3 linked regions of the Macaca mulatta genome follow. The protein of the gene in region 3 binds, or shares a complex with, the protein of the main gene of each other region. Links are inferred from orthologs where the notes say so. Each region holds a gene or a part of one and is shown on either strand. Other genes may lie near its edges.

Region 1 (3,656 bases), on a different chromosome or scaffold from region 3:
CGCCTGTAATCTCAGCTACTTGGGAGGCTGAGGTATAATAATCACTTGAACCTGGGTGGAGGTTGCACTGAGCTGAGATCGTGCCACTGCACTCCAGCCTGGGCAACAGGGTAAGATTCTCTGGGGGGTAAAAAAAGATGTATCTTAGAAACACTTATAAATGGCTAACATAAACCACATTTTGGCATGCAAGAGTTTAGTTTCAATTAAAATGTTAAGAGACGGAACGTCTTACCCCAAATGTCACCCAAATTAGTTACTATGGTGCTGTATATCTAGCTATTAGTAAGGAGAATATAAGAAACATAATTGCGGCCGGGCGCGGTGGCTCACGCCTGTAATCCCAGCACTTTGGGCGGTCGAGACGGGCGGATCACGAGGTCAGGAGATCGAGACCATCCTGGCTAACACGGTGAAATCCCGTCTCTACTAAAAAATACAAAAAAGTAGCCGGGCGAGGTGGCAGGCGCCCGTAGTTCCAGCTACTCGGGAGGCTGAGGCAGGAGAATGGCGTGAACCCGGGAGGCGGAGCTTGCAGTAAGCCGAGATCCGGCCACTGCACTCCAGCCTGGGCGACAGAGCAAGACTCCGTCTCAAAAAAACCAAAAACATAATTGTCCCCAAAAGGTGAAAAAGTCAACTCAGGAATTTTACAGATTATTTCATCTGACTTCTTATCCTGAAAAATATTAGAATAAATATCTACAAAGTAAGGATATAACAGCAATCACGTGGACTTCTAAAGAAGGTAATAAAAGAATATTACTGGCTGAGCACAGTGGTTCACGCCTGTAATCCCGGCACGCTGGGAGGCTGACGTGCAAGAATCATTTCAGGCCAGGAGTTCAAGACCAGCCTGGGCATAGTGAGACCCCCATCTCTACAAAAAACACAAGAATTAGCCAGGCATGGTAGTAGGCGCCTGTAGTCCCAGCTACTGGTGAGGCCGAGGTGAGAGGATCATTGGAGCCCACATGGTTGAAGCTGCAGTGAGCCATCATTGTACCACTGCACTCCAGCCTGGGTAACAGAGTGAGACCTTGTCTCAAACCAAAAACAAAGAATATTGCTGTCAATCAATTCAAGATTGCTTCATTCCAGTCTGAACACACATCCACATTTTTAAAGACATAATGATGCATCAGCAGACTTGCCAGTAAAATAGAGGTTTGAAAAACTTATCAGTCTCAAGACACACCTTGAAATCAAACGTGTAATTTGTGTAAGGCATCAGGCCACTCTCATAGGCACTCTTTAACTTGAAACCATGAGTGATCCTTCCATTGGTGGTTCCATTCTTCCCGTGACAGCTGAAGTTGGTAAGACTTTCATTATACCTCAACTCCTTAAAGTCTTTGTGATTTGTTTCTACTCCACCCGTGCTCAAATATTCTACAACACCTACAATGAAGACAATTTTTTTTACTGTCAAATATAATATAAACAAAAAGTAATTTTAAAAGATCATGCAATAGTAAAAAGTTTTAAACTACATACTCCCATGTTCCAAAATGTTTCCTTTTACATTTGCCAGGACTTGTCCAAATCTATTTTTACACAGCTGTAATCACAGAATACTGAATAGTTTATACTTTGCTTTATGAACATGTGTCTTCCCAATTATCATTCTTTAATGCACAATGCAACTGGGCTGGTGGATAATATTTATGGTTACTTATTTTGTAAAATGCAGGTAGTTTCCACTTTTTACAAAGAATTAAAGATAACACCACAATCAACATCTTAGTATGCAGACTTCCTGCTTATGCTCAATTATTTACTTGGTATAAAATCCCAAGATTAGGACTGAATGTGCCATTTTACGATACTGCCAGCTATGGAACAGAATACCACCAGCTAGTTACAGAGCAAGCGTCCACATCCCTAGTCAAGTATTTTCCCAATTTACTAAGCATAGATGGGCTCTGAAAATAAACTTTCATTTGCATTTTATTCACAAATTAGCAAGGCTGGACATTTTCTGACCTGCCTGCTATTACAATATCGTATTTCTCAATGCTGAAATGGGTCTTGGGTATTAATGTGTGACTAGATTTTCTCTTTACCCCTCAGATACTTTGTAGCTACACAGAAAGTAGAAAGCATGTAGAGAAATTGTCAGAGACTACTACTCAACTGCTTCAGCAGCAGTAATCTCCAGACAACCTGATGAAATGAAATAATTACAGATTTTAGATAGCTTTGATTTTCCCTGAAATCGATTTTTTTTTTTTTTTGAAACGGAGTCTCGCTCTGTCTCCCAGGCTGGAGTGCAGTGGCGTGATCTTGGCTCACTGCAAGCTCCGCCTCCCAGGTTCATGCCATTCTCCTGCCTCAGCCTCCCGAGCAGCTGGGACTACAGGCGCCCGCCACCACGCCTGGCTAATTTTTTGAATTTTTAGTAGAGACGGGGTTTCACTGTGTTAGCCAGGATGGTCTCGATCTTCTGACCTCGTGATCCGCCCGTCTCGGCCTCCCAAAGTGCTGAGATTACAGGCGTGAGCCACCGCGCCCGGCCTGAAATCGAATTTTAACTCAGTTTCTTTCTTTCTTTTCTTCTTTTTTTTTGGAGATAGTCTCACTGTCACCCAGGCTGGAGTGCAGTGGGACAATCTTGGCTCACTGCAACTTCTGCCTCCGGGGTTCCAGTCATTCTTGTGCCTCAACCTTCGGGTAGCTGGGATTACAGGCCTGCACCACCACGCCTGCCTAATTTTTGTATTTCCAGCAGAGACGGGGTTTCACCATGTTGGCCAGCCTGGTCTCGAACTGCTGGCCTCAAGTGATCCGCCCACCTCGGCTCCCCAACGTGCTGGGGTTTTCTTTCTTCCTAATGGCTCTATCTATTGTGATGTCAATAATGTGTTTCCCAATGCGCATGTGTGTGTGTTCACGCATACACTCAAGTCCAAGGAGAAGTATTCCTGTGTGTACAAATGAGTGGAAACACGAAAAGGAAGAAACAGTTTGTTATTACAAGGGCTATTGTTTATTGCATACTATCTATGGAAAGAGCATTCCAGATCAGGCTTTCTGTATTCTACATTTTAATAATCAAGATCCTTGCTCTTTGTTAAAATCGCTTGACTGATGTGTGTGTAAATAAAGGAGCTCAATTTCTACTTGAGGTGTATTTTTCTAATCAAGTTACAAATACGTGCAAAATTGAGATTCCCTAATTTTAACTCAAATTTAAACTATGATTATATTACCAGATGCTGGAATCCCAAAGGGGTTGTCTCAATACCATAATTATCTCTGACTTGGGGGTAATAAAACGGAACTACATACGTTCTTTAAAGAGTTATTTCACGTTATTGGTTATGTGTTTATTCAAAATGATTAACATCCTTCTCCTCAAGCTTCCACAATATCGTTTCATCTTCAAAATGGCCCCTCCACCCCAACGTGACGTTTAAAACCTGCTCATAGCTGCCATTACAAACTGAATTTTTATTTGGACTTAATTTGGAATGATCAGAAACAAAACATTACTAAATCATTTTATGTCAAAAAATATTCTACATAAAATCACATTATTTTCTTACCAGAGTCTGGCAAAGAATTAAGATCTGCACATAACACAAGTGGAATAGTTCCAAATTCTCCCAAAACACTGGATTTGAGGTTGCGAGAGGCTTTATCAATAATGTTCT
Region 2 (3,656 bases), on a different chromosome or scaffold from region 3:
TAGTGTAAGATTCTACTATAGATGCCTGAAATGCCAGAAAGTCAAAGAGAGGTACAATAGCAGAGTCACAGGTACACAGAGTGATCAGAAAACTAGCACTGGAAAAGAGATTACATAAAGCCACCACAATCTGTCTTTCTAAAGAAGAGCTGGTCCTGTACAATCGGCCTTTCCATTTTTTTGTGTGTATTTGTCAAAAAATGTCTTTTTCTTTCAGAGTGTTCCACTGCCTAGGAATATATTAGTACAAATACATGGATATAAAATAGAACCAAAGTACAACCTTCTCTAACCCCATTCCCAAAAGAAACCTGAAAATTTAAAGATACTAAGACATCAATGGAAGGTAGAAAGAAAATCTTGAGAAAATACTACATAAATTCATTCAAAGTGAGTTTTGCTATATTCAGTGCTTTTCTGTCGGGGGCAGGAGGGAGGTTACTGCTGAAAGTTAGGGATGGTTTGAGCAGGTGAGGGTTAACTATATTGATATATACAAAGTGCTTTGACAAGTGCCTCGTACCTAGTGAGCATTTCAAAGTTTTTGTTATTATATTATTTAAAATCTAAACAAACGAGAGAGCAAGAAGAATTTAAGACAATAGCCATAAAACCCAATGAACCTACTTATATCTAGGTGCATACTTAGCCTAGACATTTTAAGAATCTAAAAATTCCTGAAGATTATACAATTAATCATAAAGAATTTACACCTTTTTGTTACATGCTTGTATCTGAAATAATTTCTACACCTGCCCAAAGGCTGCCACTCACTTTGAAATCAAAGGTGTAATTGGTGTAAGGCATCAAGTTATTTTCATAGGCGCTCTTAAGTTGGAAGCCATGTGTGATTCTCCCTTCTGAGCTTCCATTCTTTCCATTGCAGCTGAAGTTCATAAGACACTCATTGTACCTTAGTTCCTTGAAGTCTTTATGGTTGTCAGCTACTCCTCCATTGCTTAAGTATTCCACAACACCTGGTAGAATAAAGAAAAAAGAGACACTCCCATTTAGCATTCAGACCTTACACAAGGCTTCACAGCCAAGACTTGTTACCAGGTTAATCCACCAGGCTCAGAATGGTTTTCTTAGATTGAACCATATAAAACTGCCTTTTGTCATTATTTAAAAATAAAAAATCAAATACCAGCCATTTCATACGATTCAATCAATTGAATCAAAGGATGTTTGCCTATTTCAGAACAAAATATATCAGGAACACTCAAAGATATCCTTAGTTTTCTTGGTGGTTCTTCAGGCCAAAAATTTCCAGGACCTAGGATGGCATTCACCAGGAAGGCATTAACCCTAAATGTTTTCGGAAAATTATTCCAAACCACTATCTTTTTAGCATTTTCCCATTCTAAGCAACAACTCTGCAAATATATAAGTAGAACATATTAATAAAAAACGTTTACAACAAAAACAGATTTTGCATCTTTAACATTTCAATGTCTAGTGTCAGCTAGACAGTATCATTCTTTATTTTGAGCTACAGTGAGTTTTCTCAGTCTGACACTATAAAGAATATTATATGGCAGAAATATACCACTTGGCTAAAAATACAAGGCTGAAGAGAAGAATAGCATTCAGAAAAGTGCACTGCTTCCACTGAATTAGCAAACATGAAAACAGTATCAAAACCCTTATGATTAGTGCATTATTAGAGTCATCCTTCTATTTGTAATAAGGATTGATAGTAAGATATAATGAATGTGTGATAAGCACAATTATCAGTATTGTAAATAGCTCAGAAGGCACTATTATTTACCTAGTATTTGCTACATGCCAGGCACTGTTCTAAGTGCTTTATTCATGTAAATCTCACAAACAATTCTATGAAGTAGATAACATGATTCTCCCCTTGTTAAAAATGAAGAACTAGGCTGGGTGCGGTGGCTCACGCCTGTAAACTCCCAACACTTTCAGAGGCCGAGGTGGGCGGATCATCTGAGGTCAGGAGTTCGAGACCAGCCTGGCCAACATGGTTAAAGCCTATCTCTACTAAAAATACAAAAATTAGCTGGGCGTGGTGGCATGCATCAGTAATCCCAGCTACTGGGAGGCTGAGGCAGGAGAATCGCTTGAACCCAGGAGGCAGAGGTCGCAGTGAGTCGAGACTGCACCATTGCACTCCAACCTAGGCAACAAGAGCGCAACTCTGTCTCAAAACAAAAAAATAAAAGGAAAAATGAGGAACTTAGTCACAGATTGCATAGTTCATAAGTAGCAGAATCAGGATCCAACCATGACAGTCTGGCACCAAAGACATTTCACTACGTTGTATTGCCAAATGCCAGCTAACTGGCTTTAACAAATCAAATACAATGGGAGAAAAACTTGCACTTGAGAGTAATTCAACTTAAGAAAGGATTAAGAAAGGAGCATGTGGTTAAAGTGCCAATCAGGCTAGGGGTTAAAGACAGATATTTATTAACAATGATTTCAGCATTATTTGCTAAGAAGAAAAAGATGTTTTCACGTTCAGTGACTTTTTTAATATTCCAAATGGAGGCATTTAGGTTATCTTATAGTAACCTTATTGTTACTTACTTAAATAACTTAAAATAGCCTAGTAGTGATAATATACAAAAGTTAACATATGCTTTGGTATTAGCAAAAGAGTAATAGTTTAATGTTTTCTATTTGATACCTAAAATGCAGAAACTATTTTTATAAAAAGTAAAATGATATAAGTTCAGACATAAAGTAGTTTAGAGGAGCTCAAGAAGTAATATGAAGTCCTACGATAATTTTAATCATTCTTCTGTACCTACTAACAGTATCCAAATATCACTTAATGAATTCACTTAAAAGTTGCTAACATTATTAAACTAGATAGCTACCTGTAATGAATATTTTCTGGCTGCCCCTTCAGATCACCCTTCTGCAGTACACTCTGTGCCTCAGGAAGCTGATCTTTATTGCATCAACTGCAAATCCCTCCCCCCTCTAGCTTCTGGTTGGATTTGATCAATGGGCAGCCTGGCAGGAGATCAGAGGACAGAAGCAGAGTGAGGTAAGAATATATATTACCCTGGTACCCTTCTTGTTGGTTTGCCAGGGATTGACTGCTTCATGCAATTCAAAGCCATCACTCCTATTATGTGGCCCTTTCCTACAACTGTATTTTTTCCAAGTTCTGATGACAGACAGCTCCCACTACTTTCCCTTTTAGGTACAGGAGTGGTAAAGAGATCTATTACTAAATCCCCTAGGGGCAGAGTACTGCATCATTTATTGCTTTGTTTCCCTTAAACCAGCCAACACCTTTGGAAATAGCTTCTTTATTAAACTCTTTTCTATTACCCTGTGTCCCATCCATGGGATTCTTACTGATACATTCCCTAATTTAGAAGAGAAATTATCTATTCAAAATTTAGGAGCTAGCTGGCCTCTGAACCCAAGAGTAAAAGTGAAATTGAAAGCAGTGAGGAAATGATGTTATAAATACCTGAATCTGGCAATGAGTTAAGATCTGCACATAGCACCAGCGGGATGGAATTAGGATCTGCAGTTGGGCTGCCAGGCCTACTAGAGGCTTTCTCCAGAATGTTTTTAACCTCTGAGACAAACATCATGGTCTGGATAAGCTTCACATCAGAATACTCTGGGTCCCAATGCATGTGGGCATTTGCCACTATAAGCAGCTGTTT
Region 3 (3,656 bases):
TAATTCCAACACTTTGGAAGGCCAAGGTGGGCAGATCACTTGAAGTGAGGAATTTGAGACCAGCCTAGCCAACATGGTGAAACCCTGTCTCTACTAAAAATACAGAAATTAACTGGGCATGGTGGCACATGCCTGTAATCCCAGCTACTCAGGAGGCTGAGGCAGGAGAATCGCTTGGACCTGGGAGGCAGAGGTTGTAGTAAGCCAAGATAGAATCACTGCACTCCAGCCTGGGCAACAAGAGCAAGACCCTGTCTCAAAAAAAAAAAAAAAAAAGATTTGGGGTTTTTAATCATAATGAAACCACAAACTCTTTCTGGGTGTTGAGCAGAGGAGTAATTTATTTAAAAAGGACTCTCTTGGCTGTTATATGAAGAGATTGTATGAGAAGGGGGATAAGGACAATCAGGGACCCCCAGGGACTGGCTAATGGAGTATTCAGGCAAGAGAGAATGATTCAAACAAGGGTGGTAGCAGTTAAAAAGTAGTGAACTTTGGTCAGATTCTGTATATATTTTGGCAAAAGCCTGATTATGGGGTATAAAAGAAAGAGGAGTTAAGAATAATGTCAAGCTTCTGGAAGTACAGAGTTACCACTGACTGAGATTGGAAAGGCTGTAGACAGAGTAAGTTGGGGGGTGATAATTCAAGAAATATTTAATTAGCAATTGAATGTAGAAATCTCACACTCAGAAGTATGGAATGGAAACATATGTTTGGGATTCCTTAATATATATGGTATTTAAAACAATAAGACTAGAAAAGATCATCAAGGATATAAATGCAGAGAAGAGGAATGACACAAAGAGGTCAAGAAGAAAAGGAGGAGGTACCAGCAAAGGAAATTGAAAAAGACCAACCAGTGAGGATGATGTAAAAAATGGTGCTCTCAAATTCAAGGATGAGAATGTGTATTAAGGAGCAAGAGTTCCTCCAAGTGATCACTGAATTTAATAACATAGAGGTCATTTGGTGACCTGAATAAAAGCAGCTTTAGTGAAGTGGCAGGGACAAAATCCTGACTGAAATGGGCTTACCAGAGAATGGAGAAGACCAAGTTGGAGGAATTGAGATGATTCTTTGAAAAGTTTTGCTTCAAAGGGAAATAAAGAAATGGGAAAGTAACTTACAGAGGAGATTGGATCAAAGGAAGATTTTAAGATGAGAGAAGTAACAATGTATTTCTATGTTGATGAAAATGACCCAACAAAGTGTGAAAATCTGTTGTTAAGTAGAACGCATGGGTCAATTGCAGTAATAGGGTGGAAGACAAGAATAACGTAGATGTAGATGGCTGTAGGTAGTCAGATTTGGTGGCTAGATTGTGCTAAATGTGCTCTTCTAATTGCTTCCAACTTTCTTAGGACAGTAAAAGTAAAAAGCAAGGTCATCATTTGATAGTAAGAACAAGGAGAAAAGGTATTAGGGGTGTGCAGAAGTGTATGTAATTGCGTAAGAGAGAAAAGAGTAAATGGACTAAGCATGCAAGGTATAATTATCCCTGGTAGAATTAAGAGCCTACTTTTGAGGTTCCTGGGTACGAAAATAAAGGAAGCCCAGGCAGTGATACCATGTGTTTTTCTCTAGCAGGGCTCAGTAGCACAGGTCAGGAATGAAATAGGCAGAAACAACCAGTACTGTAGCTTTGGCCATGCAAGTATAACAACATGAGAAAACGGCAAAGTAGTCACGGGATATGTAAATGAACAATTACGACTGACCACAGAATTTCATGGGTAAGAAGGGAGTTGATTACAGAGGAAGAGAGACAGGGATATGGAAGAACAGTTAAAACACAGAAGAATCAATAGATTGAAGGCCCCGGTGGAGTGAAATGATTACAGGAATTACAGTACCAGAAGAAGATAACTAGAAAATAGAAAGTGGAAATCGGAAAGCATGTGAGCACAGATTTTAAAATTGAGAGACTGCAGTTACTAACAATGACTAGGTCAAAGGGATAACTAAAGGAGTGGCTGAAGTATACTACAGGACAAAAATTCCTGGAGGAAAGAAATTCAAGGAGCTGAGATTTCAGGATTGTGGAAGGTGTGTGTATATATATACACATACATACACACACACATATACATACTTGCACATGCACACACATGCACACAGACATATAAAATGCCAAATTATAAAAGGAATACTGCAGAGTGCCAGTGATCTAAGAGCTAATATGCAAGCGAATGACCCAGAGAAAAAACAGATTACAATGAGTAGCAGTAGGTGAGACAATTTGATGACATGATATTAAAAACTGGAAGTCTGAAGAGGTATTATATACAGACATGGAAAAACAGAAAAAACTTACTCAGGAGAGTTCAGATTGAGGCCTAATGTTGTTAAGTCACTTCCTAATGCAAGATGTACCATTCCTGGGTCTGTCTCTGCTGCCCTGATAAATGTTAACAGGCCAATCATTCCAAATTGGTCCGTCACCATCCCTTGAGGAATGTTAGTAACCCGACCTGGGTAGAAAAAACACAGTTGCTTTTATTTTCAAGGAAAAGTTAAAAAAAAAAAAAAAAAGCATTCTATAACATCTTTGACATAGATTTCTAGAGTCCCACCATCAGGTAACACCTGGATCCCTTTTTTCTGCTGGTTATTATTTTGTGTTGTTGAACTTTTATCTCCAGGGAATTTGGGTCCATCTGTACTTGAAGTTGTCTTGCCAGATGTATTCAAATTCTAGCATGAAAAAAATTAAATGTGACATTAAAATTTGTTAAGTATACAAAAAAGTTCACATATTAATACCTTGCTATTCATTCTTTATTATATTTAAATTGGTAGTAAATTATTACCTGTTTTTCAAGTTCTATAGAAAATTGTTTCCATCATTGTTCCATGGTATACAAATAAATCCTATATCATCCACATTTGAGTATTTAAAGAAAAAGAAATCAAGGGAAAATATTCTTATTTATCTCAGATCTTCAGTCACAGAAAAAAAAAATCTATCTCTTTCTCAGGTCTTTATGCTTTGGGATACACTTGAAGTTACACTCCTCAATGCTTTCATGTAAAAGAGAAACTAAATACAGTATATTACCTAAAATCACCAAAGCTACCTCGAAGATAAGTTAGAACATATAAGCTTTAAAACTTTGTACTTATTCTAATTCTTACCAATCTTCTTTATCAATTATTTTAATAATATATAAACTCCCATCACACACACAGAAAAGCTATTTTCAGTGAAATGTGGAAGAAATAAACATATTTGTTAAGTCAGAAAGAAGAAGCTGAGTTGGCTGAATCAACACAGGTATAAAAATGTGTATAAATTCTTCAAGGAGAAAACTTACTCAAGAAAAACACAGCTCCTTAGAAGGCTATATTATCAAACTTCATGGGATCCAGCTGACAGGGACTACAATAAAAGTCTAAATTAACTCTGAGAAGTTCAACAGAAATTTGCAAACCTATATGAAATAGGAAAAAAATAGGCTATCTTCTAAGTTATAAAGCTTTTCCACATTCTTCAGAAGTTAGATTATTACAGATATCAAGATAAAACAGTTTTGTAACAGTATTTAGTAAGTAACTGTTAATATAAGAGAAATCTGAAGGGAAAAACTACATCACTCACTCACATAGTTCTCAGTTACTTACAGATTTACTGTCATCATTACTTGATGTTGGAT

The links.
Region 1: CNOT2 (region 3) and CNOT6 share a complex: the UniProt entries of both Homo sapiens proteins name them as parts of the CCR4-NOT complex. The link is inferred for Macaca mulatta from reciprocal best matches to the Homo sapiens genes CNOT2 and CNOT6.
Region 2: CNOT2 (region 3) and CNOT6L share a complex: the UniProt entries of both Homo sapiens proteins name them as parts of the CCR4-NOT complex. The link is inferred for Macaca mulatta from reciprocal best matches to the Homo sapiens genes CNOT2 and CNOT6L.

What each region holds. Positions count from the first base shown.
Region 1 is NC_133411.1:189,587,560-189,591,215, reverse strand, and holds part of CNOT6 (CCR4-NOT transcription complex subunit 6), read right to left. Parts: coding exon 3,549-3,656; intron 1,402-3,548; coding exon 1,199-1,401; intron 1-1,198. UniProt on the Homo sapiens protein: Poly(A) nuclease with 3'-5' RNase activity.
Region 2 is NC_133410.1:56,072,921-56,076,576, reverse strand, and holds part of CNOT6L (CCR4-NOT transcription complex subunit 6-like), read right to left. Parts: coding exon 3,455-3,656; intron 978-3,454; coding exon 775-977; intron 1-774. UniProt on the Homo sapiens protein: Has 3'-5' poly(A) exoribonuclease activity for synthetic poly(A) RNA substrate.
Region 3 is NC_133416.1:77,414,936-77,418,591, reverse strand, and holds part of CNOT2 (CCR4-NOT transcription complex subunit 2), read right to left. Parts: coding exon 3,625-3,656; intron 2,698-3,624; coding exon 2,577-2,697; intron 2,475-2,576; coding exon 2,318-2,474; intron 1-2,317. UniProt on the Homo sapiens protein: Component of the CCR4-NOT complex which is one of the major cellular mRNA deadenylases and is linked to various cellular processes including bulk mRNA degradation, miRNA-mediated repression, translational repression during translational initiation and general transcription regulation.